4 linked regions of the Arabidopsis thaliana genome follow. The protein of the gene in region 4 interacts with the protein of the main gene of each other region in a biochemical or structural test. Each region holds a gene or a part of one and is shown on either strand. Other genes may lie near its edges.

What was found.
Region 1: the proteins of SPL (region 4) and TPR1 form a complex in vitro, tested with the Arabidopsis thaliana proteins (one study listed by BioGRID).
Region 2: the proteins of SPL (region 4) and AFO form a complex in vitro, tested with the Arabidopsis thaliana proteins (one study listed by BioGRID).
Region 3: the proteins of SPL (region 4) and INO form a complex in vitro, tested with the Arabidopsis thaliana proteins (one study listed by BioGRID).

Annotation. Positions count from the first base shown.
Region 1 is NC_003070.9:30,257,989-30,268,827, reverse strand, and holds TPR1 (TOPLESS-related 1), read left to right. Parts: upstream 1-1,702; 5' UTR 1,703-1,928; intron 1,929-2,287; exon of another isoform or gene 2,288-2,319; 5' UTR 2,320-2,381; coding exon 2,382-2,461; intron 2,462-2,533; coding exon 2,534-2,713; intron 2,714-2,795; coding exon 2,796-3,068; intron 3,069-3,160; coding exon 3,161-3,338; intron 3,339-3,455; coding exon 3,456-3,579; intron 3,580-3,718; coding exon 3,719-3,828; intron 3,829-3,939; coding exon 3,940-4,111; intron 4,112-4,207; coding exon 4,208-4,317; intron 4,318-4,403; coding exon 4,404-4,473; intron 4,474-4,543; coding exon 4,544-4,617; intron 4,618-4,695; coding exon 4,696-4,791; intron 4,792-4,888; coding exon 4,889-4,984; intron 4,985-5,082; coding exon 5,083-5,210; intron 5,211-5,314; coding exon 5,315-5,549; intron 5,550-5,629; coding exon 5,630-5,770; intron 5,771-5,866; coding exon 5,867-5,929; intron 5,930-6,016; coding exon 6,017-6,163; intron 6,164-6,231; coding exon 6,232-6,342; and 12 more. Other genes in the region: PTAC17 (plastid transcriptionally active 17), read left to right, coding at 8,258-8,563, 8,674-8,739, 8,817-8,997, 9,085-9,281, 9,548-9,598, 9,709-9,800, 9,887-9,996, 10,120-10,208 and 1 more. UniProt on the Arabidopsis thaliana protein: Transcriptional corepressor. Activates TIR-NB-LRR R protein-mediated immune responses through repression of negative regulators such as CNGC2/DND1. Negative regulator of jasmonate responses.
Region 2 is NC_003071.7:18,626,076-18,633,782, forward strand, and holds AFO (Plant-specific transcription factor YABBY family protein), read right to left. Parts: upstream 4,705-7,707; 5' UTR 4,478-4,704; coding exon 4,364-4,477; intron 4,354-4,363; exon of another isoform or gene 4,243-4,353; coding exon 4,081-4,242; intron 3,987-4,080; coding exon 3,854-3,986; intron 3,279-3,853; coding exon 3,230-3,278; intron 3,140-3,229; coding exon 3,064-3,139; intron 2,646-3,063; coding exon 2,568-2,645; intron 2,453-2,567; coding exon 2,375-2,452; 3' UTR 2,177-2,374; downstream 1-2,176. Other genes in the region: AT2G45180 (Bifunctional inhibitor/lipid-transfer protein/seed storage 2S albumin superfamily protein), read left to right, coding at 302-706.
Region 3 is NC_003070.9:8,315,279-8,322,732, reverse strand, and holds INO (Plant-specific transcription factor YABBY family protein), read right to left. Parts: upstream 5,437-7,454; 5' UTR 5,404-5,436; coding exon 5,209-5,403; intron 5,112-5,208; coding exon 4,974-5,111; intron 4,873-4,973; coding exon 4,722-4,872; intron 4,629-4,721; coding exon 4,580-4,628; intron 4,461-4,579; coding exon 4,385-4,460; intron 4,249-4,384; coding exon 4,150-4,248; intron 3,710-4,149; coding exon 3,629-3,709; 3' UTR 3,242-3,628; downstream 1-3,241. Other genes in the region: AT1G23440 (Peptidase C15, pyroglutamyl peptidase I-like protein), read right to left, coding at 533-793; AT1G23410 (Ribosomal protein S27a / Ubiquitin family protein), read right to left, coding at 7,323-7,454. UniProt on the Arabidopsis thaliana protein: Essential for the formation and the abaxial-adaxial asymmetric growth of the ovule outer integument.
Region 4 is NC_003075.7:13,679,986-13,686,828, forward strand, and holds SPL (sporocyteless (SPL)), read right to left. Parts: upstream 3,610-6,843; 5' UTR 3,475-3,609; coding exon 2,944-3,474; intron 2,845-2,943; coding exon 2,611-2,844; intron 2,522-2,610; coding exon 2,342-2,521; 3' UTR 2,093-2,341; downstream 1-2,092. Other genes in the region: PHOS34 (Adenine nucleotide alpha hydrolases-like superfamily protein), read right to left, coding at 1-732. UniProt on the Arabidopsis thaliana protein: Transcriptional regulator of sporocyte development. Acts as an adapter-like transcriptional repressor recruiting TPL/TPR corepressors to inhibit TCP transcription factors. Required for nucellus and embryo sac development.

The sequences.
Region 1 (10,839 bases), on a different chromosome or scaffold from region 4:
GCACATGTACCTAGTGACTCATAATGAAACGTATCATAATGGATTGACGAGTAGTTGTCTGATATTGACATCTTAATTTATAACTTCCCTTTTCATTGTTAATGTTCCTTACTGTCTTCTGATTGATAATAAAGACGTTGACATGTCAAACCACATAATTATTTGAAAAATATATATTATTTCTTCAGATTTTCATCATTTGTTATAAGTCTCGATAAGACAGTTTTTGTTTTTTTAACAATTTTTTACAAAAAACTTACGACCATAATTTAGTTCAGGCGAAAATCAGTGAATCATTAATCATATTTATTAGTTTGGATTTTTATGTGTTTTTCTTTTTATGTATTTGAGGATTTTTCAGTTTGTGAAAACAAATCTAATATGCTTATTTGATTTCTTCTTTATTTGCTGTATTCTTAATATATCTTGCAGAGCTAAGGTAATACTCAAATTTTTTTTTTCCACACGTAAAAACTCATATTTATCAGTTTGGAATTACTGTATTCTTTTTAGTAGTCCTCTCACTCGCCATGGCAAGAAGAAGGTTTTTTTTTCCTTTTTCTTGCATTCCATGTTAATCAGTATTTGAATAAAAAAGCAAGCTAAATCGGCAAATGAACTTATATCCAAATAATCAAGATATCAATCTGTGTAAGCATTACTAGAAAAGTAGAGATACTCGTGTTACCGTGTAAATTAAAAGAATAAAAATGTGCTTTTCAAAAGTTATATACTTTTCTTGTGCACCCATAACTTTAGCAAAAGCAACCATCATCATTCTTGAGCAATTAAAACAAATAATATTGATCTTCATTTGGTGCCAAAATACTTTACGGTAATGACGTCAAACTCGATGTTTCTTGTCAAAGTCTGAAAGACCAATATAAAATAACACTAGACACATTATAAAATTAACATATTGGTTCATTGTAATTAAACCGTCGAATATATATAACGAAAATACCAATTACGCTGTGAATAAACAAACAAAATCATTTTATTAGTCATCGAGTAAATAAATTCGATTATAATCCTCAATAGTCAATATATATATAGCTCACATCACATTATGCGATTAACAAAAACAATCCAAAACAGTTAAATGATTAGAAATTAAACGAGTCTCACTAAATTATTAACGACTCCAAATCACGAGAAGGCTTAAGAGTTATCATGTCGGGAGAATTTAACTGATAACCTCTTCCATTATCTCTCAATCACGTGATTTTTGTTCAACGAGTACCGCATCTCAAGAATAAAAATGGCAATTTAGGTAAATATTTGTCATTTTCAAGGGCAATGGAACTTAAAGATGCATTTCAGAAGGAAAAGCTTTGTCGTGTTATGAGGGAAATGTGGGGACGCAGCTACTTCGCTTTCAAACCGTTGGATGAATATCCTTTAAGGTTCATCGTACAAGATCGACGGCACTCACCGAGGGTGTACTCATGTTGTGACACAGAGGATCATGTCTACTTGGAGTACAGCTAGCAGCTAGAGATTCTGAGCCGATAACGTCGAGAATTGTAGCCGGCTAAGTCGTATATGCTGGTTTAAACTTTAATCTGTACTTATATATAAGTCAACGTGCTTATCAAAATCAGCTCCCTTATCGTGTGATAGGTGCATTGTCTTATTAGACTCCGTTATCCGTCACCTTCGCATATTAAAATCACTTTTTATTTTTTGGTTTTAAATTAAAGTCTCCATTTCTGCAAGATTTTAATGTTCGTATAAATAAGCCTGAAGAGAGAGAGAGAGAGAGAGAGAAAACTTGTTTTTTTTTTTTCCATTAGTTTTTTTCTTACTTTCTGGTCGAGAGAGGAGAGTCCAAAAAACCCAAATCCTTGGCCTCTTTCAATATCAGGAGAGAGAAACTGAAGCTCTGGCCTTTGTTTCTGAAATCGATCGTCTTCTTCTTCTTCATGGCAAGTAACGTATCTAGGTCTTTCATTTTTGGTTTAATATCTAAATCGTAGCTTTTCTGGGTTTTTGATTTTTGTTTTTGTCTCATGGAAGTGAAAAAGATGGCCATTTTAAGCTTTATATTTAATTCGGTGGACAATAATAATACTAGGAAGACCTAATTTTTGTGTAGCCCAATTAAACACTAATTAAATCCGCCGGAATAGAGACTTTTGGAGAATTTTCCGGAGGATAGTTGTAAAGATCTAGTTATATACTGTGTAATTAAGAGGCTGTGTCTATTTTCATTTTTTAAAAATAATAATTAAATGGAGGAATATCTGAAACCCAGTAAATTGGGATGATTTGATGGTTTTGTAAGGTTATCATCGTCGCCATTATATTGATATGCAGATCTGGTGGGTTTTTCTGCATCTGACTTGATAGCTTTATCGGACTGAGTGGCAAAATCAATCATGTCTTCTCTGAGCAGAGAGCTCGTCTTCTTGATCTTACAGTTTTTAGATGAAGAGAAGTTTAAAGAGACTGTTCATAAGTATGTCCGATCTCTCTTTTCCTTTTTGTCTTTTATTAGGCATTATTATTAACTTGATTGATTATTAATTAGGCTTGAACAAGAATCTGGGTTTTTCTTCAATATGAAGTATTTTGAGGATGAGGTGCACAATGGTAACTGGGATGAGGTTGAGAAGTATCTCTCTGGTTTTACTAAAGTTGATGATAATCGATACTCCATGAAGATTTTCTTCGAGATTAGGAAGCAGAAGTATCTCGAGGCCTTGGATAGGTAACTTGTGTCTCTCAACAACAACAAGAATCAAATGTTTTCATATTGCCAATCAATCACACCTGCTGCTGCTTCTATCTAGGCATGATCGTCCCAAGGCTGTCGATATTTTAGTCAAAGATTTGAAAGTGTTTTCCACTTTTAATGAGGAGCTTTTCAAGGAAATCACTCAGCTCTTGACCTTAGAAAACTTCAGGGAGAACGAGCAGTTATCCAAGTATGGGGACACAAAGTCCGCCAGAGCTATCATGTTGGTGGAACTCAAGAAGTTGATTGAAGCTAATCCTTTATTCCGTGATAAATTGCAGTTTCCTACCCTTAGAACTTCACGCCTCAGGACTCTGATTAATCAGAGGTATTCTTTGTCCTTTCTTGTTCACTTCAACAAATTTTCTTCTTGTCAGCTACTTTAACTCCTTGTTTCTATGTGGCTACATAAACCTGCAGCTTAAATTGGCAACACCAGCTTTGTAAGAACCCAAGGCCTAATCCTGATATTAAGACTCTCTTTGTCGATCATTCCTGCCGCCTACCAAATGATGCACGAGCACCATCCCCTGTCAACAATCCGCTTCTTGGATCATTACCAAAAGCCGAGGGATTTCCTCCTCTAGGCGCACACGGGGTAGGTCAATTTCCACCTGATTTTTCGTATTTTCTATAAGTGCCATTTCTACTGCTTTTGGTTCTAGCTCTATAGTTACCTTTACATGCCGTGCTTGACTTACCTTTATGTCTTTAGCCTTTTCAACCAACACCTTCTCCGGTTCCGACACCTCTTGCTGGTTGGATGTCTAGTCCTTCCTCTGTCCCACATCCAGCTGTGTCTGGAGGACCCATTGCTCTTGGTGCTCCATCCATCCAAGGTTATTTGCTTATCAAATGTGGTGTTTCTTTATAAAAGCTGTGTGGAACTATAGTCTTAAATTTTATCCTCGCCTTTTTTTCAGAACCTTTAAGTTTCACCTGTGATCTATGTAACATGTTCTCCTTTTTGGTTCTTAGCAGCCTTGAAACACCCGAGAACTCCTCCTTCTAATTCCGCTGTAGACTATCCATCAGGTGACTCAGACCATGTCTCAAAGCGAACCAGACCTATGGGAATCTCTGACGAGGTGAGAAAAATCTTAATTAATATTATATATTTTCTTATCAATACCAATTTTACATAATTGGTAGTACTAGTTTAGACTTTAAACGTATTTCTTCTTTCTCCCCATATGTAGGTGAGTCTAGGTGTGAACATGTTACCAATGACATTCCCGGGGCAGGCTCATGGTCATAATCAAACCTTCAAAGCACCTGATGACTTGCCCAAGACAGTTGCACGAACTTTGAGCCAAGGCTCATCTCCCATGAGCATGGATTTCCATCCTATTAAACAGACTCTGCTACTAGGTCTGTTTCTTGGTCTGTATGCATATTTCATGTAACATACATCATCAGAAATTTTGTAAAACCAGAAGTTTCTTGCTTCAATTTTCTTTGTTCCAGTTGGTACGAATGTAGGGGATATTGGGCTCTGGGAAGTCGGTTCTCGAGAACGTCTAGTCCAGAAGACTTTCAAAGTTTGGGACTTGAGTAAATGTTCGATGCCCTTGCAGGTGTCTTCTTTTGTGAAAATCAACCAGAATATTAATATCTAATATCTATTTGAAACTTCAGTGACCAACAATTCTGGTCTTTATAGGCTGCTTTGGTGAAAGAACCTGTCGTTTCTGTCAACCGTGTGATTTGGAGCCCGGACGGTTCCCTATTCGGTAAGACTTGAGATTACAAATGCTCTTTCAACCGATTTGAGTATTCATATGCGCACGTTTTCAACTGCAGGAGTTGCTTATTCGAGACATATTGTACAGCTATACTCTTATCACGGTGGTGAAGACATGAGGCAACACCTTGAGGTGTGATATAGTTTACAACAACATTTTAGGAGTATTTCTTTCATTTCCTGTAATGAAAATCATTTTTTATTATTTCAGATTGATGCTCATGTTGGCGGTGTCAATGACATTGCATTTTCCACTCCGAACAAGCAACTATGTGTTACTACTTGTGGTGATGACAAAACCATCAAGGTTCAGTATTTTTTTTCTTCTTTCATTTCCTTAACTCTTGTTTTTTTTTTTTTTTGTTGGAACTCTAAAAACAGACTAATCAATTCTGTGAATTAAGGTCTGGGATGCTGCAACGGGTGTAAAACGGTATACTTTTGAAGGCCATGAAGCTCCTGTTTACTCTATCTGCCCTCACTACAAGGAAAACATTCAGGTAAAGTAGCAATATTTATACGGTTTCATTTTTGCTAAGTACAAGTTGAAATTCGTTTCTATTTGGTTTTGACTTGTTTATTTCTTCTTCTGCTTAAGTTTATCTTTTCAACTGCTCTTGACGGAAAAATAAAAGCATGGTTATATGATAATATGGGTTCTCGGGTTGACTACGAAGCTCCTGGTCGCTGGTGTACAACGATGGCCTACAGTGCTGATGGAACTAGGTTATAACATGATTCTCATCATCTTTATGTTGTGGTTCTGTTCTGTATCGTCATGAAGTGATAATAAATTTAAAATCTATTTTTTATTATATTCACATGGATAGGCTATTTTCTTGTGGGACGAGTAAAGATGGGGAATCGTTCATAGTTGAGTGGAATGAAAGCGAAGGAGCTGTGAAGAGAACTTATCAAGGATTCCACAAGCGTTCCCTTGGTGTTGTCCAGTTTGATACTACTAAAAACCGTTATCTCGCTGCGGGTGACGACTTCTCCATTAAGTTCTGGGATATGGACACCATACAGCTTTTGACTGCCATTGATGCTGATGGAGGTCTCCAGGTATGCAAACAAATACCTCGATTCTCCCTGGGAACCGAATGTTTTCATTTGCAGCCATCATGGCTCTCTATGTTTTGTAGGCAAGTCCACGGATCAGATTTAACAAGGAAGGCTCTCTCTTGGCTGTTTCCGCAAATGACAATATGATTAAGGTTATGGCAAACTCAGATGGTCTAAGGCTATTGCACACAGTCGAGAACTTATCTTCTGAATCCTCCAAGGTACTGAATTTTGTGCTCACTGGATCTTCAACAAGCAAATTACTAACCCCCAATTTGAAATTTCTTCAACACTTTATTTTTCATGTACATTTGCAGCCTGCAATCAACAGCATTCCGATGGTAGAGAGACCTGCCTCTGTCGTTTCCATCCCTGGAATGGTACGAAAATCGATACTTTTTCCGTCAGTTTCTCTATCTCTTGGTCTGGGTCCAATCATCGTTGTTGATCACTTACCTTTCCAACAGAATGGAGATTCGCGGAATATGGTGGATGTGAAGCCAGTGATTACCGAAGAATCAAATGATAAGTCTAAGGTATGGAAGCTTACTGAAGTCGGCGAACCCTCTCAGTGCCGTTCATTGAGACTCCCTGAGAATATGAGAGTCACCAAGGTACTAACACATAGACTGACATAACTGTACTTATATGGCTTGATTCTAATGACTCAAAACTTGAGCAGATATCGAGATTGATTTTCACAAATTCGGGAAATGCAATTTTGGCATTGGCATCAAATGCTATTCATCTGCTATGGAAGTGGCAGCGAAATGACCGTAATGCAACTGGGAAGGTACTTATGGTCTAAAATCTTCCTTTAAGATCGCCAAAAGAGTTGAAATCATGATGAAATTCAATTTGAGATTTTGTGTAGGCAACGGCTTCTTTACCTCCTCAGCAGTGGCAACCAGCGAGCGGGATCTTAATGACAAACGATGTGGCTGAAACTAATCCAGAAGAAGCCGTACCCTGTTTTGCTTTATCGAAAAATGATTCCTACGTGATGTCAGCATCGGGAGGAAAGATCTCTTTGTTTAATATGATGACGTTTAAGGTAAAATCCCAGCTACAGACAGCACTATGTCTAATGTATGCAAACAATGCTTCATCTGTTACATTTAATTGTGTTGTTGGCTAAGCGCAGACAATGGCTACTTTCATGCCGCCTCCTCCTGCCGCAACGTTTCTTGCTTTTCACCCTCAAGATAACAATATCATTGCGATCGGGATGGATGACAGTACAATACAGATTTACAATGTTCGTGTTGATGAGGTTAAGAGCAAGCTTAAAGGACATTCTAAGAGAATAACCGGCCTCGCTTTCTCCAATGTATTAAACGTTCTGGTTTCGTCTGGAGCAGACGCTCAGGTGCTGATTCATCTCATGTTTTGTAATAAAGAATCCAAATCCTTAGAAGTCTTAGTGTGAATCTTTTGGTTTTTGTATGCAGCTTTGCGTATGGAACACGGATGGATGGGAGAAGCAGAAAAGCAAGGTTCTGCAAATTCCACAGGGAAGATCCACGTCTTCTTTGTCAGACACGCGTGTTCAGTTTCATCAAGATCAAGTACACTTCCTTGTGGTCCATGAAACTCAGCTCGCTATATACGAAACAACCAAGCTTGAATGCATGAAACAGGTTTTAGTCTTTATATATGTTCATTCTCTCTCCTTGCATCTGAGTAACCCTTATAGAAGAAAGAAATGTCTTTATTTTGATTCCAGTGGCCTGTGCGTGAATCAGCAGCTCCAATAACACATGCCACATTCTCATGTGATAGCCAATTGATATACACAAGTTTCATGGACGCTACAATATGCGTCTTCAGCTCTGCAAACCTTCGATTGCGTTGCAGAGTCAATCCCTCTGCATATTTGCCAGCTTCTCTCAGGTGAGTTAATGAAATGAATATAAACTAGTGCAATGTTGGATCATGAATCTTGAGTCTTCATGTTGATGTTTTGTGCAGCAACTCGAATGTCCATCCACTGGTGATAGCGGCTCATCCGCAAGAATCCAACATGTTTGCAGTGGGTCTGTCAGACGGAGGGGTCCATATATTCGAGCCGCTTGAGTCAGAAGGTAAATGGGGAGTAGCTCCACCGCCTGAAAATGGCTCAGCCAGCGCTGTCACGGCTACACCTTCCGTTGGAGCTTCTGCCTCTGACCAGCCTCAGAGATGATCTGCTTCAGTTTCTTACTCTGTTTTTTTTGTGGGGGTTTTAGATCTTTTCCGATTTATTATTGTTTTGTTTGTGTGGGGGGAAGAAAGCATTCTAACAAGGTAAATGAATTAATAGCTTACAAGTTCTTCTTAATTGGTTAATTCGATGTTGCTTGCCTCTGATATTTTGGTCTTGAGAAATATCAGTTTTGCAAAAGGACGAATTTGCAATTTTGCACTCCGAATCTAAGCACGAACTAAGGATTGAATGCCACGTGCAGCTTCGAGATAGGTTTGGATATTCGTTTTGAGATACGAAGGAAGAATTACTAAGGCCTATGCGGCCCACGGCCCACAGACTTATATATCTACAATGATAAATATCTTCAAAAATAGTAATTTTGAGAAAATATTGAGAAGAGACAGAGAAAAAAAATCGAGTGAAAATTATCTGGTGTGTGTATCTAGAAGAAGCTACAGAGTGGGACGAGGTTTAAACTCGCCAATCGCCATTGACCTCTCGCTTGCTTTCTTTAACTAAAATGGCGACGCTATCAACACTAGAGATTGCTACGACCTTCCTCTCTTTCACCGCTCCTCGTTCCTCTGCCGCCTTCAACTATCGCTTTTCTTCTGCCGCCGTCTCTGTTCTCTCCAGGCCCAGAGCTACCACCGTTTCCGTCAGAACGACGCCGTCTTTCTTCTATTCCCCGGTGGTCCGCCGTCAAAGATTCTCATCTGTCTCCGCCTCAGCTACGCAGACTGAAGATTCTGATGTCACCACTAAGATTCCGCCAGATAACCGGATTCCGGCTACTATTATCACCGGTTTTTTGGGCTCTGGCAAGGTCAGTCAGTGTTTCTCATCATTTCATATCTATTCTAGGGTTTAAAATTAGCCCTGCTAAGTAAAAGAAATGTTGGACTAATTATACTGCAATGTTTTGTTTTTCCACAGACAACATTGCTGAATCATATACTGACCAGAGATCATGGGAAGCGAATAGCCGTGATTGAGAATGAGGTTAGCTTATTATCCTCGCCTGAATTCAGTTATAATGGTGTTGCTTTCTAATTCATGTTTCATGTGAATTCTCTCAGTTTGGTGAAGTTGACATTGATGGGTCACTTGTTGCTTCTAAATCTATTGGAGCTGAGGATATTGTGATGCTCAACAATGGCTGCCTTTGTTGCACTGTTAGGGGTGATCTTGTCAGGATGATTGGAGAATTAGTCAATACCAAGAAAGGAAAGTTCGATCATATAGTCATAGAGACTACAGGTTGGGAAAGGGGGCATTTTCATTTAGTATGCTTAGAGAATCTGGGGAATGAGTAATGACTATCTTATGTTTATTTTCACTTTTTAGGATTGGCAAACCCGGCACCGATTATCCAAACCTTTTATGCCGAGGAAGAAATTTTCAATGATGTCAAACTGGACGGTGTTGTTACTCTAGTTGATGCTAAGCATGCTCGTTTGCATCTAGACGAGGTCAAACCCGAAGGTGTTGTCAATGAGGCTGTTGAACAAATAGCTTATGCAGATCGTATCATAGTTAACAAGGTAACCAAAGTTTTGAACACAATTGTCTCAAAGAGAATGTGATAGTTTTTGTGATCTTGAGTGGTTGAATCTCTTCTATCATAAGATTCAGGTCGTTCCTCTCTCAAATAGTTTATAGTTTACAAATAAATTCATTTGCACAAATGGTTTTGACACGTCCTAAGTGATGGATCCATATGTTTTACTCAAATATATTGAGAAGTTATCGGTTGTATTGTTTTTGTTGGCATATCCAATTTCTGAAAAGTGACTGTACTTTGTTGCAGACTGATCTTGTTGGTGAGGCGGAATTAGGTTCGGTGGTACAACGCATAAAGGTCGGTCTCACATCTTCTTCGTATTCATTTATTTCACTAGATGATTATATGTTAGTCTCTCAGACCATTCTTGGTTATAATGTTAACGTATTTGCTATGGTTATCTACAGACAATAAACAGCATGGCTCAGATGACGCGAACAAAGTACGGAAATGTTGACTTAGATTATGTTCTTGGAATTGGAGGTTTTGATCTAGAGAGGTCTGCTTCTTGTTTAACTTATGATAATATTCAGTTTGGTGTCTTGTAGCTTCACACAGTTATTAAGGTGTTCTTTGCTTTATCAGAATCGAAAGCTCTGTGAATGAAGATGATAAGGGAGATCACCATGATCACGACCATGATCATCATCATGATCACAACCATGACCACGACCATCATCACCACGATGGACATGGTAAGTTTATTAGGAAACCTTGATTTAGTTATATTGATTGCATGCTCCAGCTTTACGAACATGGATTGTTGGTTCTGGTCTCTCTCATCACAACCTAATCAGTCTCTGATTCTTAAACCTCAGATCATCATCATCATTCTCATGATCACACCCATGATCCCGGTGTTTCTTCAGTCAGTATAGTTTGCGAAGGAAGCTTAGACCTTGAGAAGGTAATATAGATAATATGCAGCTTGAGAGGCACACAAAAGTCTCATATAAAACGACTGTTTGATGAAACCGTATGTTAATCTTCAAATTGTGTCACAATCCATCAGGCAAACATGTGGCTCGGGACGTTACTGATGGAACGCAGTGAAGACATCTACAGAATGAAAGGTCTCCTCTCGGTCCACACCATGGAGGAGAGATTCGTGTTTCAAGGAGTCCATGACATATTTCAAGGATCACCAGACAGGTTATGGGGAAGAGAGGAGGAGAGAGTGAATAAGATCGTTTTCATTGGTAAGAATTTGAACAGGGAGGAGTTAGAGAAGGGTTTTAAAGCTTGCTTGATTTGATTTTTGCACTAGCTCTATGTATACTGAGGAAATGGTCACCGGCGTTGTTGTAACTCGATTTTAAGTGCCAAAGGATATAAACGTCATTACTCTTGGTTCTCCTCTGTGCATCACCATTGTGGCGGAGATATTTCCAACTTAAGTAGAGAACGTAGTAGCAATAAAGTTATGCATGTTTGTTGTGTTCATATTTGGGAAAAACGAAAAAAAGAACTTTGTAAGAAAATAACAATAGAGATCTCGATGAGATATAACAAAAGTCGATCAAATTATAGATTCAACT
Region 2 (7,707 bases), on a different chromosome or scaffold from region 4:
CTCTGTCTCAAAGTTTGTGGAGCCTCTTCTTTCACAAACAAACAAGACAAAAATCTTGTCTTTTCCCTTTCTGTGATAGAAAAATAAATTAACAATTCCTAAAAAATAGTCTAATCAATTTCAAGACCTCAAGTTGCAAAAGCCAACTAGCTGGATAGTTTTGTTTCTTACTCTAATTTTCTTAAGTCGCTCACATGCTATTTTATCTCTCGGTATATGTAATTAGTAATAACTTGTTCTATATAAACCATGTCCTATATCTCTCCTTCACATTCATCCCAAAACATTACAAAACGTTACAATGGCTTCTAAGGCTCTTGCAGTTACAGCTCTTCTTATTACACTTAATCTTCTTTTCTTCACCTTTGTAACCTCCACAAAATGTCCACCAACTACTCCTAAACCCCCAAAAACCCCGAAATCGCCTAAGAAGGCTCCTGCCGTGAAACCCACTTGTCCTACCGACACACTTAAGCTTGGTGTTTGCGCAGACTTATTGGGCCTAGTTAACGTTGTTGTTGGTTCTCCACCAAAGACTCCTTGTTGTACACTTCTTCAAGGTCTTGCTAATCTTGAAGCTGCGGTTTGTCTCTGCACCGCTCTTAAAGCCAATGTCTTGGGGATTAATCTCAATGTTCCTATTGATCTAACCTTGCTGTTGAACTATTGTGGCAAGAAAGTTCCTCATGGTTTCCAATGTTCTTGAAGATTTGAGACTTTAAAAGAGAAAAATCTCTTTGGTTTGCTATGTTTTTATATGTTTGTTTCTACTGTTATCTATTGTTTTTGTGAGAAAAAGCTTTGTTCTGTCACTGTTGAGTTTGATGTAATGCTTGAGCTTGTTCATGATAGAACCTTTGTTCTCTCAATATTGAGTTTGATGTAATGCTTGAGCTTGTTAATGGATTTTATGTTCTTAGTATTTCTCCTCTCGTCCATAAATGACATTCAATCATAACGCTCTTCTATTCGTGCTCATGCTTCAACGCCTCTATTTGGTTTAGAGGGTCTCTACGTGGTCTCTTATTGGTTAATTATTATCCAACCCAACATAGGCCCATATGGACCTATAAGTCCAGAACAACATGGACCACATTAGAAAGCGAAAGGGTAAAGCCGTCATTGTTGCATACAACACGTAGAAATTAGATGGGTCTAGAAGTAACGAAACACTGCGTTTTGTTGGATTCTTCTTTTGGAACTCGTAAATTGACAACTAAGCTTGTTTACTCGATGTTGGGGAGTGTATAGTACGATGATCGGAAAATGAAATAAATATAGTCGGAGACTGAAGAAAACTATTCTGAGAAGCAATTTCCGTTGGGATCCGGTGCTAAGGATTTAAATCATTTTTTAGTCCAAAAAAAAAAAGAAAAAAAAAAGAAGGATTTAAATCATTTTATTATCATCGCATTATTGTATACCAGGCCCACTGATTGCTAAGGAAACTCGTCATTAATATTAATGGGCCGAATTCTAGTAGGCCTGATAACATATAGTCACTTGACCCAAAACGTTTTTTTTTTGTTATTTATCATGCTTGCTCATATCCTAATGTCATTTTTGTTTGATTTGCTACTTATATCCACCGCTCTATATTGCACCAAAAGAAAAAAAGACGAGTTAAATTTAAGTCTGATATACACTTTTAGATTAGCTTATTGCTATCACTGAATTTTTGATCTTACGAAATAAATTTATCTTAACTTTTAATTTCCCTCTATTTTGACAACAATTGTCGTTTGATGCATGCCCCAGTTCTTATTTAATTATACCATATCACTATTATAAAACCATTAATGGGAGCAATAAGATTGAACCATATGCAACAATCTCAAGAATCAGATTTTGAATGGAGAAATTTGAACAGAATCACATCGTTTTACATGTTTTCGGGAAGCAAATGCTTGTGCATATTTCCATTCTTAGTTTAGTTTGAATTTTGAAATGTAATATGATCATTCCCCTCTTGTTTTCTCTTCGGTTAAATTTTTGTGATATATTCATTCTGGAGGAAAAAAAGCTTTGGATTAATTGGTGGTTGTAATTTCCTTTGAGTTTCTTTTACATATGGCGATGGTGTAAAAATCTATTAAAAAAGTCTGATTATTTAAATTTCAAATTCGGCTTTCAGTAATAATAAGAAAACATTTTGATAAGTTAATTAATTATACAACTACAAATGAAAATTAACTTAAGAAACCCCATTAATTAGCAAGATTTTTGATTACAACAACAGAAAAAGACACATGCATATTTATAATATATATAAATAAGTTCAAGAAAGGAAAAGAAACCACAACTTTTGGACATGATAAACCCTAAGAAATTGGATTTCAATTCCTCAAATACTTAGTCGATTATATTTATCTCTTTAATAAGGAGTCACACCAACGTTAGCAGCTGCAGGAGCGTAGAACCCTTCTTTCATCACCATGTTATCCTCTCCCTCCTACACACATGTTTAAGATATGATCCAAATCAATTGAAATTATATTTGTATATATGATATTACATAAAAGTATATGCATTAAAGATGTAAGGTATGTCGACAGATTAGGGTTTACCTGTTGGGGCATGTTGGTTTTCTTCACGGGTTGATTGTCTGGCACGAGCCCGAAGTGTATGTGGGGGAAGTGGGCCCACTGCATTACACATAAACAACATACGTACAAGACACATATCAACTTGTGTTATAACCCGACAAAATTCTTTACTCCTAATTTCAGCTATACCTACATATATGACTGTTTAATATATATACAACTAATACAAGAGCAACTATACGCATAGATAAAATCAAACCCTAGTTTCTGCCGGCAATCTAAACCAAGTTGTGATGTTAGTAGTATCAATGGCTTAAATTCTTTAGTAAAGGAAAACAAAGAATACTTAAAACGCATCACTTCTAACTAGAATTTTCAGCGTTTAAAAAAATAATTTTTTTATTGAACTAGAGATAAATATGGATTATCAAGGACTCTTTTGATTATTAAAATTTGATTCAACCAATGGATAACAGTTTAATATAAATTTTTGGGATGTGAGAAATAAGGTTCTTACATTCTTGGCAGCAGCACTAAAGGCTTCTCTGTGGCTTATATCAGGATTACCAGCTTTGATACGTTGGATCTCCTCCCTAAAATAAAAACGTGACAAGGAATTATATTAATGTTACACAGTTATGGTTAGAATATGAATGATTGTAAAAATTAAATAAGAGACTCACTTGATGAATCGGTTATATGCGGATGGGACTCTCTGTCTTTTCTCTGGAGCTGGCAATGGCGAAATTCAACGGCAAAGACAAAGCGAAAAAACAAAAACTCAGACAGAAAGAGACAAACACTCATTAAAACTACTTTCATTGTCTTTTTTCTCTCTCACACAAATACTTTCTCTCTCTAACCCATCATCACTTCATCATGTTTTTTTAAAGACAAGCCCATCTTCTAACATATTACATAGATTTTTTCTCTTTAGCTAGATTTCCGGGGGATCCATGAATCTATCTCCCCGTTTCTTTTATCGTCACTATTTTAATGTTTACCAACGCTAAAAGCCATCTAGGATATGTAGACAATCAACACATACTAAAGTTCATGGATCAATGAATATTTTAAATATACAAAATCATAATCTCTCATGTCTCCTTCTAGTATACAAAGAAAAGAAAGGTAAAAAATCTCCTTCTAGACTTAATTCAATGGTGCTAGGGTTTGAACGAGATCCAGTGAAAGTTAAATAAGAAAAGCTATGCATGTCTTAATGGCGATTCATCATCACAACCAAATTATAAACACGGTTAGCATAGAAGTTAATATCATAAAAGTGAGAAGAATTAGTATCTTACGGCGGTTAACGGGTGGTGCTTTAGGAATCTCATGTTGTTGATGAAGATCCATGAAAGATGGTATGTCATTCATAGTAGGATGTTGATTCATCATCATCATATTCATGTTAGACGGTGCATCTCTCAGCTCCTCCTACAATAATATTTATATCCTTGAGGCTTGAGATTACTTCCAATAAGCTAAATGAGACCCTATAAGATTATGTATTTGAATTTTGTTTAAGTACCAGAATATCCTGGGGATTGAAGTAAGAGTGAGGACCGAGCTGGAGCTGGAGCTGGTTAGAAGCTGGGAGGACATATGATCTCATGTTCACCGAAAGGAGATTGGTACAGCAACCACATCGGACAGTTACGGTCTTGAACAAGCTTGTGTAAGGAACATTAACCTATAAGCACACAAAAGAAACAATGAATTTAAAAAACCCCTAATCTTGTATAGATCAAGAAGATGAGAAGTTGGAGGAGAAAAAATGAGAGAGAAAGTATTGAAGAGAGGTTATTTTGTACCGCAAGGATGGTTTGGCAAAAGTTGCATTGGACATAGCAGAGATGGTCGGAAGGAGAGAAGTGGTCCGGTGAACAAACAGCTGAGGAAGGGGAGGACATAGACGACATAGACATCTTTTTTGTAAGAAGGGGAAAAATATTGGAAGCTGATCTTTTTTTGGGAGTGTTTGGGGATTTGATTGATTGATGGGTATTTGACTGATCAGAGGATTCTTGATAAGGAGAAAATAAAAAACCCCACCATGATCTGATCTTCTTGATTGTTGGGTTGCTGTGTATTATATACCACAAAGGAAGATATATAGAGAGAGAAGAGGTGAAAGGAGTGAGAAGGGAAAGGGGATATTAATATATTAGAGGGTAAAAATTAAACAACAAATGCTCTAATTGTAGCCTCTAGGTCGTCTACTATTAATTTCGTTAATTAATTCGGTAATACTGTGTGTATATATATAATGTGGTGTATTATACATTTCAATTCAGCGATACATATATTCTTTAAAGAAATTCTCCAATGGGTTATATACAATTTTAGGTTTTGAATAGTATAACAGAGTCAGCGGTAGTGAACCAGCAACATAAATGGAATAAGTTTGGATGGTGTAGAACAGATAACACAAACCAAATAAAAATAAATATGCCGGTGTTTAATAAGACAATAACTATTTATATAATTTTTCATTAAATCAAGTGGCCGAATAAAATTTATGATCGATAAAATAAACATACATTAGTTTTTTTAATAAGTTTCGGAACTACACCCTAAACACCATTTGAATAAGCAGTTCATTTTTTTCACAAACAGTTTTTTTTATACCTTTTCCGTATATTCTTATAAATTGTATTGCCACATAACAATTGAATTGTACCACCACTATACCGCACTCTTTGTTTTTATTTATCACAAAATGCATAATCTTGACAAGTGGATCCAGATATTAAACAAATGTTAAATTACTTTGAACATAATATTAATTGACAAAAGAATTGGACAATTTCTTTACAAATATCACTTCTTTTTTTTTGATAAAAATATACATCTCACTTAGATCTTTTTTAATTTTTAATTAGTCAAATGATGCGAGTTATTATTAAATCTTTGTTGTCAACATCCAATATAAGATTTCTTTTTGATAATGCCTATATTAGAAATTCGGTTGACCATGCGGTCTCACCCTTACTAGAAAACGTAGACATTAAGCATCTATACCGTTGTACCTCTAAGATGACCTTGTGGTCACAAGGAGACAAGACTGATGACAAAATAGTTTTGAGGATATTATCGCTTAAAGATGGACCTTTTTCTATCTGATCTCAAACAATTACAAACCTAATTTTGCAATCAATTAAATTTTGGTCTATACAATTAAAAGCACATGTTAATATATGAAAATAGCTATAGGCATTTATGTTTCTATATAAATAGAACAAGAAATTCTAACTAAAGAATCAAATTTATAGCTACTATACAAAACTTTCGACAAAAATATGAGATTGGATCAATATAGCGATGACCACTAAACTACAAACCACTTCATGATCAATTTTGAAATCTTAGGAAGAAGATATTGTAGTACTAGTATGAACAAGGGAAGATTGAGGCATACATTAGAAGATTCGCGAGCTTAGGCTTTGGGGTTGGGGTTGCACGTGATGACACATGTAATGTGTTTGCAAGTAAGTTAAGAAACGACGAAGCTCTTGAAAAAAAATTTAAGTGAAAAAAGTTTTAAAGCTTTGACAATAGAATTCGCAGTTCCCAATGGAGGAAGAGAAGAGAGGAGAGAGAGAGGGCGGCAGAGGTGGGGGGAAGAAAGGGACGTGTGCATGGGAGTGATTAAGCGTCGCCTCATTCACCCGTTGTTGTCATTCCTTAATTACCACTGCCATTACTTTTTCTCGTTTCTCTATACAATTCCTTTCCTATTTTTTTAATTTTTTTTTTAATTATTAGTATTTAATTTCAATTGAAACATACTTTGTTTTGTTTGTTTGTATCATGTATGTATATGTAGAGATAAACATGATGCTCCATTTTTATTGATTGGTTATCATTAGCTTTTTAGTCAATTATATGATTGTTTTTTCCCCCTCCATTTGAATATTTGGAATCATCCAAGTCTAGACTTTCCATGAAAGCGAAAGTAAATTAATTCTATTTTTGTAGTTAAAATTTCCGAGTTAACCGGCTGCTTATCAATATACTAGTTTTATATTTCCGTTTAACTTAAATCGTTATTTTGTTGTTTTAAAATATTTGGCATTTATCACTTAATAATTTACGCACGCTCTCAAATGTGTATCCGAATTTCATTGATTAGGATAAGGAAACTATATGATTTATCTTCCTAGCTATTTTCTAGATTACAATTTTATTTTTAGTTTGTATTGCTTTTGCTGGATAAGAAAACTCTTTTTAACTAAGAATTATACAAGGGAAACAGCCAATATACTAATGTAGTGTTTCTCAATGATAGTTTTAAAAGCGCCATGAATATGTACGTATATATAGGAACACCATATTGGTGAAAGCCACGAGCAAAACTCCACACGTAATTAATTTCAAACCTACATATGATTTTATATAATATTCCATTCTCATTTCAAGTATAGATGTCTAAGAAAATATCTATGCACCTACTTGCGAAAATGATGCAATGCATATATCATATATGTTTTGTCCCACCAATTGAAAATAACTCCTTAGCTTGTATATCAATATTAATTAGTATTTGTTACTAATCGATCCGAAGAATCATAGAATTAGATTATGTAATGCAAAATCAATCGTGTTATTGCTACTAGTATTTCCTGCCCCCAAACAACATTTAAGTGGTTAAGTTAGTTAATATTTCGTAATCTCACAAGCAATTATTCATATGGTTGTGCAATCCCTAACATTCGGTTACCGAAAAAAACACATTATTTTGTAAATTCAGCATAACTTAACATATGAAGAATCAAGCTCCGAAATATTGCAATCAGCTACTATTTATTGCCTCACAATTAATAACATTTAAGTGGTCATATAAGTGTTTGACAAAGAAAAAAAGGTGGTTATATCGGTAAAAGGTCGACCAAAGATGCAAATATAAAAGGCGGAAGTTTTGAGTATTAAGGCGTGCATAATTTTTGGTTATAAGGAAGGAAACGTTGAAAATGTTGGTCTGATCATACTTTACTAGAAACGTATATAATGTTAGGGTTAGCCCACACTTTTGTCGCAATTTGGGCGATGGGAATGCAGAGATAGTACACACATGTATTGGAAATTTAAATGTTTATATACATGCATGTATGTGTGTTCTGAGATCATAGGCGTGACATTGACATTTCCCTATTCT
Region 3 (7,454 bases), on a different chromosome or scaffold from region 4:
ATAATAACGACTTCATGTCCATCCACTGTTCCTTTGAATTCCATTATGTTTGGCATATCAAAGCTTCTCAAATCTAAAAGTGGTAACTCAAGGAGTGTAGCAGATGTGTTTTTAGTATCTTCTTGGTTCGTCTCTAACGCATCAGAACGTCCCTCTGTTCGTGCAGTTACTGTTGATGTCATCTCTTATAGACTATTGGTTGCAAGTCAAACACAATTCAAAATCCAAACCATTTAATCAAGCGAAGCTCCCAAAGAGATAACTCTCTTTCTCGCTGAAACCGATTGCACTAAAAGCTCTCTTAACTTTTTGAATGATGATCACCAACAAGAGCTTCGACTCTATATATATATATATATATATATATATATATATATATATATATATATGAAAATACAATACCCAAACTAAAAAAGAGGAAACTGTAAATCCAAGTTAGACTTAAACTTAAGCTATAACTCTAAAGTCTATAACCAGTTAAGACTGAGACAGATTATAACAATGATGATCAAGAAATAAGTAAGAGGCTTACCCAGACAACAGTTCCATTGTTGTTCTTATCTCCAGAGACAACACTAGACTCCAAAACCTCATAAAGCTTAGATTTTGCACCTTCCCCAGCAGTGTCAAGAACACTACAGCTACCAAGACACAATCCAGAAGGCAAACCTCGTTTCTCCACATACGATTTCAAACCATTAGCTATCTTCTCAGTAGGATTCTCTGAAACCCCAAGAAATTTCTTGAAACCAGTCACATGAATCGTTATTGCTTTTGGTCCTTCAGAACCCATCTCTCACACCTGAAAATCAAAAGTTACGATAAGCAAAACCAAATCAATCCATCAGTTATCGATTTGATCAAATAGTTGACCCAGTTAGGTGATTTGATGATTAAAGATCGGATTTTTTTTTTCGTTACCTGAAATTCCGATTGAAGATAATCAAAGAAAAAAAATGGAAGCTTTTTGTTTGTTTTGACTTTAGGATTGAGGAAAGAAGAGGTAACAAAATTGGGTTTTGGGTTGTTGTTGTTGTTGTTGTTGTGGCGAATAATAGAGATTTCGCGGTGGACTTTATTATAAACACGACGCCAAAGGTTCGCCCACAGATTATGAATTTATTTACGAGAAAATGCCACTAAAGGCCGGAGAATGAAACGTCTCCGACACCGTCTGAGGTAATCGATGACAGGGAAGAATGATGACGTGGCGTATTGTTATTGGTAGAAGTTTAAGAAGTTGCGATTCCGGCACATTAATTAGTTGTTGAAGGGGGATTTACGAAATTACCCCTGTTATTAGATAGGGAAAACGTGCAGATAATAATATTCTACTAACTCCATTTGTTAAAGAAAATTAAGAAATGCTTTTTCAATAGTGGTGAGTGGTGACGTCAAAAAGATAATATGAAATTAGGAGAAGCAAACCTTTTTAAAAAATGTATTTTGAAATGATACCCTATCTTTGAAAACTTTTAGAGAATTCATCCTTTTCAGCTGGAAAATTATAACCTTAACCAATACCAAAATCCAAAAATATTTCAGAATACACAAAGAAATATCAGTTTAGCTCAAAATAAAAAAACGTGAAAACAAATTTAAACATGGCATGGAAGATGTTTAAGTTTTCCAGTAAAGGATCGTTAACATGTACATACATAGAGAATTTTGAATAAAGTATATATAACAAATAATTTACACCAATATCTAAAATGCAATGTCAACCTCTTAATTATGATTTTCCTTAATAATTTTGTTCGTACGGTCAGAGCCGTCCGTAGTGTAAAGCAAACAAAAACAAATTAAGCTCATTGACAAGTATATTAGTTCTTTATCCGAAAAAAAACACTCTTCTGATATAATTTTTTTCTTCTTATTATCCCCTCGCCGTGACAAAAGACTAACGAGTTTAATTTTTGATCGGTTCAGGTTTAAGTTTTAACTATGGTTTCTTTAGATTCATGAGATCCACTGGCAGTTTACTGCAAAAAAAGTCAATGATATAATAAAGGATTCCGATAGATCCAACTCTTGATTTTCATGCATTTGCAAGATCAGACTTGCTCTGGTTTTTTAAGCTAAAAGAAAAAAGTGCATGTTAATATAGTTTAGGATGAAGTAATTTATACTGTCAAAGTAACTTCAATCATGGAAATTGATTTCTTTAGCTTTCTTGTTTCGTGAATATTGATGGTTATATATTTTATATACTAGTAACTTAGAAAGATCAAATTAATAATAATTTGTGTAAAGAATGGAGGACTCTAAAACCTCTTCATTCTCTCTAAAAGTAGATCTAGATCTCAGTTTGCGTTGGCTGGCTTTGGTGGCTTCCATAGCGCCGGAGCTATGCGTCTCTTGCTCTGTTGTAAAGTTTATGTTGCTTTTACTTAGTTTATGTGCGTTGTGGTGTAGGGATTTTCGAATGGTTCTTAGATGGCTTATGTTGTTTTTGTGGGTTGGTCTATGTTGCTAGTAGCGCCTCTTGATCCGGTCATGTTTTAGCCTTCTTCTCGTTTAGCCTCTTACCAGGCTTGGTGGTTGCTTTCGTTTCTGTCCGGTTCGATCTCCTCCCGTTTTTCTTTTTCGGTGTGGTCCGAATTGATTTGGTTCTCTCCTTGTCTCTACTCTAAAGATCTGATCGAGATCTCATCTGTTCATTGGCTGGTTTCCTTCGAGGCGCTAAACAATCATATTCTTTAATTCGCCGATTCCGGGAGTGTAGGTGTGACTTGTCGTCTTTGGCCTAGTTCTTCTCGCCGGTATGGATTCCTTGGAACTCTTCTATGTAAGGTAGTCTTCATCGTAATAGGTGGCACCGCTGTCCGTTTGGTTGGGAGTTCCTTGTCTCCTACGGAGTGGCTTGTTGTAAAGCTCTGCCTTTCCTTTGTCTGGTAATGTGGTTGACGAGATGTTGTGTTTAAAATTTTGGTTGTTTTGGTCTGCTTCTTTGTTTCAGTTTCGCAACTTTGCTTTGTTTGTAAGGTTTGTTTTGCCTTGTTGTCTCCCTTTCCTTTGGGTTTTGCTTCCAAGACTATCCTTTTAATCGTCGGCTTAGTTTTCTGGTGTTACTTGTTAACCGCCGGCTTTATATTTCACTTTTGTATTTCACCGGAATCTCTATAATAAATTTTCAGACGACAAAAAAAAAAAGTAACTTAGAAAGGTCAAATGTCAAAACAAAAAGTGTTTTTTTTTTAGTAAGTGTTTTTCTCCATCGTACGTACAAAAGCATTGAGCGCGCGAAGTCAAGAAGGATCTTTATTATGATAGGTTAACAAAGATTCTTACTAAAGTACTGTTTCATGGAATGTTAAAACATTCATGGAATAAGAGTAGTCATGAATGCAAAAGTAGAATTTTTTTTATAGAGTCAATGCATGTCTCTTCAAATTAAGTTCAAAGTTGACAAGTACTACGAAATTACTGAACAAACTCGCTCATTCCCAAGGACTCTTCTCGAACACACACAAATCCTACTTCCGTTTCAGATTCTTCTTCTCTCTATCTCTCTCCAACAACAGAAACCCTAAACCAACATAATCAAACCCTAGAAGAAAAGAGTCACCATCACATGTCATACGCCATTATTTATTTTTTTGTTAAATTTTCATATCCCAAATTGTTATTACTCAAATGGAGATTTTCCCCAAATGGAATGCCTCTGAGCCTTTCTCTCTCGGAACCCATTATTGCTTTCTTCATGGTCCTGCATCACAAACATTTCAACAATTATTTGGTATATTAATTGAAAACTATACATATTCAGCTTCAATGTTTTAAATTAGTTGAATGGGTTTCTATAAAAGTAAACTGTGTGCAGTGTAAGCTTCAATACTATAAAAGGGTTTAGGTCATAAATTTCACACATTGTAGTAGTTGAAGATCAATGATATATTCTCACAATCTCACTTACCCTTCTCCTTGCTTTCACTCTAATAATTAGTAAATGATTTCTCTTTATATAATTAGTCTAGCTAGGGTTCTGAAATTTTGACTGAGAGCGATGCTATTTGGATCTAGTTAATGCTTTAATTATTTGGTTTGCTTTGGAAAATGACACTTGTTGTGGAGTTTACTTGTCAAGAATATGGTAATTGATTTTGAAGCGAAAGTGATTAAAAAATATAAATGGTTGCTGAGGATTACCTCAAAAACATTGCATGGTAGTATCGCATTGTTATCTTCCTCACAAAAACATTGATCTGAAGCAGCTCTCTTGTTGTGAGCTGGAGGAAAATGGGCCCACTTCGCCATCCCCAAATCAAAAAATTGAAATCATAAAATGTTATTAGCTAACTCGATCTGTCAATTAAGCTAACAAAAAGATGAAAACTATATTAGGGTTTTCTTTTAAATCTTAAGACTAATTAAGCTTAAGTACATTTTTGGCAGCTAAGCTGAAAGCTTCCTTGTGAGCCATGCTTGGATTCTGAGCCTTTAACCTCCTGATCTCTTCCCTGCTCCAATACAACCCCCAAAGAAGAACCATTTTACAAACTCAAAACCTTAAGTGGTTAAATTTGTAAGAATATATATAATATACATACACATGTAATGTGTTGAATTTATTTCTTACTTGATGAAGCAATTGTAAGCTGAAGGAGCTCTTTGTCGCTTCTCAGGTGCTATATATATACAAACTCAAAACATAATTAGACGACTGATGAAAGGAGAAATCGCAAAACTAAAGTTTAAGTTGAATTTATACTCAAACGTACGTTTATTGACAACTTGGTAAACACGAGACACATCTTCATCTTCATTGTCTGAAGATGAAACCAAAGTCGTTGGACTGTTCTCCTTCTCCTGATTCACCTTCCATGCTTCTTCTTCCACACCATCTGTAGCTGCAACCTCCTCTTTCCCGGTCTGCACATATATTTACATATAATCAAAAGTAAGTATATATATATATATATTGGTCATATTTAGATGGTGTGTGTTTGTCTATGTATAGATGTTATGGAAACCTCATCAAGATGGGAGAGAGAAGCAAGGAGATGGAGAGGAATGAAGGAAGCCTTCATCAAATTGACAGAGAGAAGGCTTGTGCAATGCCCACATCTCACAGTCACCACCATTGACAAGCTTGTAAACGGTACACTCACCTGCAACACATTTACACTCATTAAACTCATGATCATATATATAAAGAGAGGAAGGGAGAAAGGAAGGGAGAGAATAAGAGAAGAAGTTAAGGTATACCAGCAAAATAGTGGTGCAAAAACCACACTGGACATGGCAAATCTGCCCCGGCAGATCAAATAGATGGTTGAGTGTTGTCGTCATGTTGGGGAGCTTTGTCATAGAGAGTGTGTGTGTACGATGAATGATAGGAGATATATGTGTGTGTGTGTGTGTGTATATATAGACAGAGAGATAGGTTTTGTTAATATTCATTAATGCAAATATGTAATTATATTTATATCTTTCATGTGGAATGCTTTGGTTATATGCTAAAATGCACAATACAATTCAACTTATGTACGTCTCTATCTCACTTGTAATAATTGGAATCTTCATAGTCTCTATGAGCTGTAAGCAGTAAATGATTCTCATTCTTTCTATTAATCACATTCCTAACTCCTTAATATTCAAACTACATTTTCTTCTCTAAAATAAAATAAAATAAAATGATGTATATAATACTTTTGTTGATGATGGAGTTTAATTAAGAATTTTCGTTATACAAAAGCATTGTTATAAGATTTTTATGTTATGTCACACTCACAAAATATATATGACAAATGATACATAACGTTTGAGCGTTTACCATTAGAGGAGACATTTTTTGTTGTCAAAACAATTTAAAACACTTAATAACCTATAAACAGAAAATATATAAGCTCCCTTCAAAAACCATTTCAGGATTTTTCTGATAAATAAGCATACAAGATAATATGTGTTATTGTAAGATAACACTAGGTTAAACAAAAAAATAACAAGAGATAAAAATCGATGGTAAAGAGTATGAGTATTAAAAATGAACATGTGAAAATGGAAAGGCACGTTGCACAAGAGGAGATAGATAGACATCGAAGAGAGCTGGGGTTAATAAATGATGTGATGTGGTGGTGTGGTTTGGTTTGCAAGTTAGAAAGAAAGAAAAAAACAAGTGAGGTTGAGAAAGAAATGCCTCTTTGTCTCATGTGTAGTTGTCTCTTTAAATGGGATTTAATGAATCTCTCACAAAACTCAACAGTCTTTTGGAGTTTTGGTTGAAGTGAGACTGAAAATGAAAGTGCAGTGAGTTGAGACTAGTGCGGGTGTTTCTAGGAGACTCATCACTTTTAGTAACTCGGAATCTTAGGATTTTGTCTTTCTTCTCTCACATTTTTGCTAACTGTTTCTTGACCATTTTACCCAAACTCTTCTCTCTCTCTCTCTCTCTATTTCTTCAAGTTTCAGTGCTTTCTCTCTGTGTCATGTTATTTCTACTGTCCCTCTCTTTATTGCTTTCTCTCTCTCTCACTTACTCTCATCTCCTATTTTGTGTTCAACCACAAGAAAAAGACTAAACATAATACTAATATTTACTCAATTTCCTACACATTTGTAATTTTTGTGTGGGTGGAATCCAATGCAATGACCCAACCCCGGAGTGAACAAGTTTCGACCCATTTTGAGAGATCACATAATTTACCGACCCATTAATAAGTTTCGATCCATTTTCATAAGCCTATTGATGAGTAATTGAGTAGGAGGTACACATTTGTGATTTGAGAGATTAGAGGTTAAAATTATACATTGTAATCATAGTTATGGCTTCTGGTTTAACAGTCTTTTACTCCATATATACTGATATACATCTCATTTCTAGTCTCAAACTTTTACATGACAGCTTATAGATTGGTCAAATCTCACTGTTAACATAAATAGAAGCTGTGAAATGACGATAAAATGTGCAAAGACAAACGCACGTTAATGTCAAACACATAATCAATATCTGAGAGAATTTAAACTTATCTTAGCAAACAAGTTATCAGAGCCAACAACAACAAAACTTCAAGACATTGGTGTAAGAATATGATCAGAATCAACATAATGGCTAAATTTTGCCTTGCACTAATCCAGGTTAAAACTAAAACAATGTCGCAAAGAATTGTTCCAACACAACGTCCTAATTCTACAGCCACAATTCAACATTTCCACATCAGTCAAAGCATAATGAAACAAAAAAAAAATTGATCAAATTTCTAATCAAAGATAATATAATGTATTATGCAACAATTAAACCATCCCTCAATAGTATAAAACCATCTCAAAATATCTGAATTAAAAAAAAAACAATCTAAATTCCAAAAGCAAAAAGACATAACCTACTCTTCATCAGCCTTCTTGAACACGTAAGTAGTTCCACATTTCCCACAATAATGCCTATCGAAATGACTCGCCATGAAAGTTCCAGGACCACAACTAACAGAAGGACACTCTTTCTTCAACCTCTGAAC
Region 4 (6,843 bases):
AGCCTCATGATCTTCATCATCATCATCGTCATCATCCCTACGTGATTTAACAGTGACAATAGCTTCCCTGGTAGCTCCAACATTCCCAGGAGGAGCAGGACCATCACGATCATCAGGATATCTAACAACAACAACAGGACAAACACAATGGTGAACACAATAATCACTAACAGAGCCAAGCTTGCCATCACTTCCTCTCTTCTCAGCACCAAATCCTCTGCTTCCCATTATCACGGCGCTTAGATTAAGCCTTTCAGTCTCTAAGCAAAGCCTCTCTCTCATATCGTGATCTTTCACTATATGGATCTTATGAGGAAACCCAGCTTCCTTCAACGGCTTCGCTAGATCCGCTACTTTGGAAGAAGTAAACGCATCGAAATCTTCCTGACTAGGCTTCGGCTGAGCTCCGGGATCGGTAGCGGCGGAAGGAGGAGGAGGAGTTTGGAGAGGGAGAGGTCCCCAATCGGCGCCGAAGAGAACGGAGGTTGGAGAAACGTGGAGAATGACGACGGCGTCTCCGGGACGGATGTAATGATCGACAGCCCAGCGAACAGCGAAAGCGCTTTCTTCGGAAAGGTCAACGGCGACTCCGATCTTACGGCGAGCACCGGCGGTTGGGGTAGGAGTAGCGGCGGAAGGAGTGGAGGAAGAGTGGTGGTGAGAGTGACGAGGAGATGAAGGATGGTGGATCTTGATGTTAGGGAGATGAGGATAATCGGAATCTGGATTCATGATCGTCTTCTTCTTCTTCTCTGCTTTGATTCAACAATTTATAGAAACTTTTGACTATTTTCCGATCGAGAGGAAGATGATGATGATGATGAAGAAGAGAGAGCCGTGTTTGTCAGTTTTAATTAGTTTACAAATTAATTTATAAGTGTAATTAATTGCTAATTGTTTGGATAATGGATGTATTAAATTGTCAAGAAGTTGAAAATTACGAGAACGTGCTGAGCAGCTGCTTATTGAGGAATCATAGGGAACTGTTTTATCTTATCAGTTTACTTTTATAATGGGCCGTGTGTTTTGATATTAAGGCCCATATGTGTTTTGTCAAACAATGACTTTATCAGTATGTCAAATTTGCTGAGCAATTGTTGTCGATCGTATTTGTTTATTTGTATTTTTAAAATAATGATCTAAGACCGAATCTAACTATTTTCAAACATAAGAGTTGTGATGAATAATTTTTCCGTAATACATGGATTTACGGATGGTTCTATTTGCATTACATCCACAATGAATAATTTTATCTATAATACATGAAATCACGATGAAAGATTGTACATACAGTACGCTATAACTTTCAATAACTTGGTTTTCTCCATAATAACTTAGGTTTTTGCCATAAACTTTGTGTAGAAATTTTCTTTTTAGAAATATTGAACTACTGGATATTGAACTTTTTTTGGTTAGACTTCTATAGTATTGTTTCCTATTCTGTTTTTATTTTCGGTGAAAAACATTTAAACTACTAAAAAATCAGTGAAATAGCCGTTCAGAAAAACATTTTAAGTTTTAATTAACTATATAGTTCGATTTTTATCCCCCTAAAAAAAAAAAAAAAAACCATCGAGTTAATTTTTGCATATCTGTTTTAATAAATTTAAACATCTAACTAATTTTAGCCGAACTAAAATCAATAAAAAAGCATCCCAAAAATAATTGATAAAATTTCATATTTTCTATAAATAAACAAAGCAAAATCAATCAACTTATAAAAAGAAGATAAACTCAAAATTCTCATTGGCCAATTTTTAAAGTAGTTTATACTGTACTAAATTTATAATTCTGATCCAAAACAAAACAGTACGTACCAAACACATGTATAAATTTTATAAATCGAAAACGAAGCTGTACATCCCATATGCTATGCAATGACATTAATTGGAAAAGCTATAAACAAGAGCAATTTGATACATTTATCTCACACCAGATAACAAGATTAATCAGATATGCATGACACCGTTTCGAAAACCGAGGATTAATTAGGTGATAACATGAATCATGACAGGATCATTGCCTAACTAAAGAAACACAAAATGGATACAAGCCCCAAGATCTGACACAACTTTAGAGAGAGAGAGGGAGAGAGAAGTTTCATGACAACAATTAAGGAAGAGAACAGAACATATATGTCTGAGTGTTTAGGTTAGAATCTCATAATAAACAACCAAAAGGGTAATCCAAAAGCTGAATCTTTCTTTCGACTCAGCTCTCAGATGCATACACCAAAAAAGGCTCTCTCTTTTTTTTCTTCTGTTTCTTACTTTCATCTACTTAAAATGTTTTTTCTTTAAAGAGACGATTTTGTTTAAATCAATATAGAAAGATAAAACATTTAAAGCTTCAAGGACAAATCAATGGTATTAGGACTGCAATCACCTACGAGTGACGACGTTTTAGCCACCACTGAAACTCTTTCACCATATTTCCCCGGAAAAAACTCGTACTCCTTCACACCTCCTGATCCATTTCTAGGGTTTCCTTCCATGTAGCTCCCAAATTCCTCCATTGGTCCCTAAACCCACCAGTTAAATCAAATAAGATCAACAGTTATATACATATATACCTATATATGAGTATTAATAAATGGACTATACTTAGTACCGTATGATTTGTTGCCTCGTTGAAATAAGGATTAATAGTAGTACTAGAAGCAGAAACTGAAGCTGCTCTAGCGATTCTATGATCATAAAGGAAACCTTGGCTCCTCTGATGATGATCTGATTGAAGAAGATACTGATCGTAGCCGTTCATCGGAGGAGGAATCATTGTGTATTTCGAAAATCCACCACCGTTGGATCGAACTACATTATTCTGATCACCATCCAAACGTTTCTTCTGCAGTTTTTTACATAAATAAAAATCAAAACTTTTTCAAGTGCAAAAACTATATATATATCAATCATGTTGATGAAAACGATTAAAAAACAAACAAACCTTGAAGCAAGTGTCACAGCGATTATTGGAAGAAGCGTTAAACATTTGAGGATTTGAGATTGAAGAGAGCTCATGAGTAGTGGAGGAGGTCTCAACAAAACCCCATGGAGAAATAACCGGGTCGATCATAACCTGACCCGACCCGACTCCACCACAATAGATCCTGTTGCTCCCGAGTGAGCTTGGGAAGCCTTGTAGCACAACACCCGGGTCTACCGGTACGGGTAAACGGGTAGCGTTGTTAGAGATCGATGCTACTGATGACGTGTCTCCGACTGTGGCGGCGGCGAGTTGCTTCTTTTCTTCTTCGATTCTCTGACGCTCGAGCTTTGCTACACCCATTCCTCTCAACGTTGGTTTCTTCTGTTTTTGCTGACCTGTCTTCGATCCTGGTTTCCGACCACGACTCTTCAGTGTCTCTGTCCGGATCTCGCCGGAGCTGTTGACGACAAGACGGGTGTTTCTCAGAAGATCGTTTGGGTTTCCGACGGAGTTTTGATCTGTTGACATGAAGAAGAGAGAAGTCGCCATTGATGATGATCTTCTTCTCGGAACTCTTTTTAGATAGAGAGAGAGAAGGGAAGAGGTAAAGACGAAAGCTTTAAGTGTGTGTGTTTTGTTTCTGCTCTCTTTTTGTGTGTGTGTATCTCTTTAGTGTTCATATACTAGCTCAGGCAAAGTACTTACCTGTGTTTTTATTTTCTGTTATTTCCAGGTACTATATGCGGATAAACGTATCTTTATTTCTTTTTTACTTTTTACCCCCTATAGTAGATTAAATTAAAGTATTTTTCAAAAAGATTAGTAAAGTATATCATAAATTCATAATACGTATTCTTATTTTATACTTTCTTAGTCTTATTAACCTTAGATGTTATAAATTCCCTTAGCACTTGCATGCATTTTTAACTTATGTGTGTATAGTCGTATAGATGTTCAATTTGTCAATATTAGTGGGTGTAAGTCAAGAGACGTTGAAAAAAATGCATTATTTGATGTTAATATGGTCATGAAAAGGAACAACTGAAATAAATAAAAAAGAGAGTTTGTAACTGAAAACTATGTTATATAGCATGAATGTATGATTTGATTGATGTTGTTATCCATGCATTGGATCGTGGAAGAAATTCAACATTATAGTATGATAGTTAGTTATCTTTGGTTCTGTCCATTAAATGGTATTTTTTATTCTTTCTATAATCTTCAATTACTCCTTAATTAATTAACCTACCTCTTAATATATAGAGTTTTGACTAAATAACTAGATATGGAATACTATGCTGTACATCTATAATACTAGTATCGGTGTAAAGAGTAAAGTGGGACGAATTCTCACTTTGCAACGAATATGATTAGTTTGTGAAACAGATCAAAGATATAATGATTTATAGTTTTTAAGAATTTAAAGGAGTAACAACAGAACAAGGTTTCAAATCCTTTATTTTCTTACATCTTTTGGGCGAAGAATGTAGAAAAAAAACAAAAACTCAAAGCTATTTATTTACTTGTTCCTGATAAAAAAAATCAGAGATTGTGATAATCCCTACCATGGAGACAGCAAATCGGAGATTGTCGCTACTCGCATAGGCTCAGTCGTGAGGTGAGAAACACTGTCCAATAGTAACAGCGCGTGCATCACATTGCAAAGAATATAGTACCCGCGGATCGAGGACAGGTGTCGGGACGTTAGACCATTCGCCGATTGTAGCGAGCAAGGTCTGGGACAACGTGATTTTACTCAGCTCATATCAACTAAAATAAGCAAGTCCAGTTACAGTCGCAGACTCGCAGTTATATGTATTTTTTTTTTCTTCAAAAACAAATTTTTATTTACTTTGACTAATGTGATATGTATATGAATATATGATAAATACGACGAGTAAGCTTAAAAACTCACTATACTTAGCTGACAAATAAAATACTAAATACAAAACGAAAATTAATATATTTGACATTTATTTGAAAAAGTTAGCTTTCGGTATTTGAAAAAAAAAATCGAGAGATAGTTATTGCTTCACATGAGAGGAGGACGAAAGCAAAAAGAATAGCATGAGAGACGTGAATTACGAGAAGGGTTTGGAGCTACGGAGTAGAGTAGAAATGATGGCTGCATCATATAAGGAAACATTTTAAAGCTGCCTCCATGTTAATCTTGGCTTCAGCCCAATACCTACTATTAGAAAATTTTAATTATCTTAATACAAAGTTTGTTTTATATGGATATTCTCAATACAAGTCTTAAGAGAAGCCCCACTGAAGTAATTATACATTACTATGTGTTGAGATTTCGTTTTTTTTTTATATAAATGAAGTAACCAGATGAGATGTTGTACATCTTAAATGGCTATTATATGATCTACGTAACCGTTGTAAATGTATACTAGCTAATAATAAAACGTACGTTGTTAAACAAAAAAGAAATACAAATATATTTAATTATTTCTCCATTATGTATCTTATTTTTTCTAGTTATCAGTATTTACTCGATTCCAAAGGTACTTCGAATTACCTTTGCTAAGTACGTTTTCTGAGTAAAGTTATCATATAACACTCAAATAACCTTTTTTACCCCCAAACAAAACAACTTCAATATGTATCTTCATAAGTTCATATATTTATAAAACAAATTACTCACTTCTTATACTCAAAACATTCATGAGTGACATGCAAATTCACTCTGCGGTTAGCGAGATTTTGTTATACGTAGATAATTAAGAAGAAAAATAAAATCTGAATTAATCACTGGAAATAAATCCAAACGGCATGACCAACCCAACATTGCAACATACCTACACTGTTGCTATAAGCCTAGAATGACACGCGAGATGATAATAGAATTACACTAAATCGAAATAAATCAATATCGAAAGATTTTATTTCTACCAAGTTTAATTTGTTCAAAAATAAATGGAAGTATATGCTTTCTATTTCGGAAAATAGCTAGATAAACTTTGATATAGATACCGCGTAGATTGTATTGTGGGCTAGGACAAGGAACTGGTAGGGCAAAGGACGAAAGAGGGGACCCCACATGTGCTTTCATGTTAAGTTACGGATAGTGGTCCAACTGACACGTGTCATCACGGGGACCACTTTAGATGGTCATTGGGCGGCTACTACTAGGGTTTTTTTTCCGGCACGTGTAAAGAAGAACCGAAGCGTGTGAAGGTTTGATTTATATTGCTGGGTTTAGGCAGGCATAGAAAGATTCTTGGGATCCGTGAAGCATATTGTGTTCCTTTCTAGAATGATTGGATCTTTCTCTTCTGTTTTTTTTACTTCTCCTCCTATTAGATGATAGAGCCAAAGAAAATAAATAAATATTATTCTCTTTGGTTATTGCAAATGAAATTATTTATGTTTCATAACACTGTTTAACTTAGTTCATAGAATGTTGTTGGCTGCCATTTTAAAAGCTCTGCGAATCCTCATAATACAACCTATCACTCCATTTTGATTTCTCTTTGAGATCTCTCTAATACAAATTGATAGTATATGCACACTGTGAAGTAAAATAAATGTAGACAAGAGACTATATAGAGGACAAAAGGAGGCAGAGTAGGTGAATAAATGAGTGAGTTTTTGGGAAGTGTAAAAAAGAATTCTGAGAAAATGAAAATATAAGAAAAAGAAGAAAAGATAGTAACTGTTAGTTTTGGCTTTATACATCATCTTCCTTATCTATCTATTTTCATACAAACTTGCAAACCCTTCCTTAAACCTCCTTTTGGACCACCTCTCTCTTTCCCTCTCTCATCTTATTTTTTCTTTCTTCTTTTCTAAGAATTTAATTTTCCAAGATTTTCTATTATCATTACTTTAGATCTCTCAATCTCCAACTGAGATTCTCTCCCTCCCCTCACTCAGTACAGTTGTAGACCCCCTATTCAACAACTATAC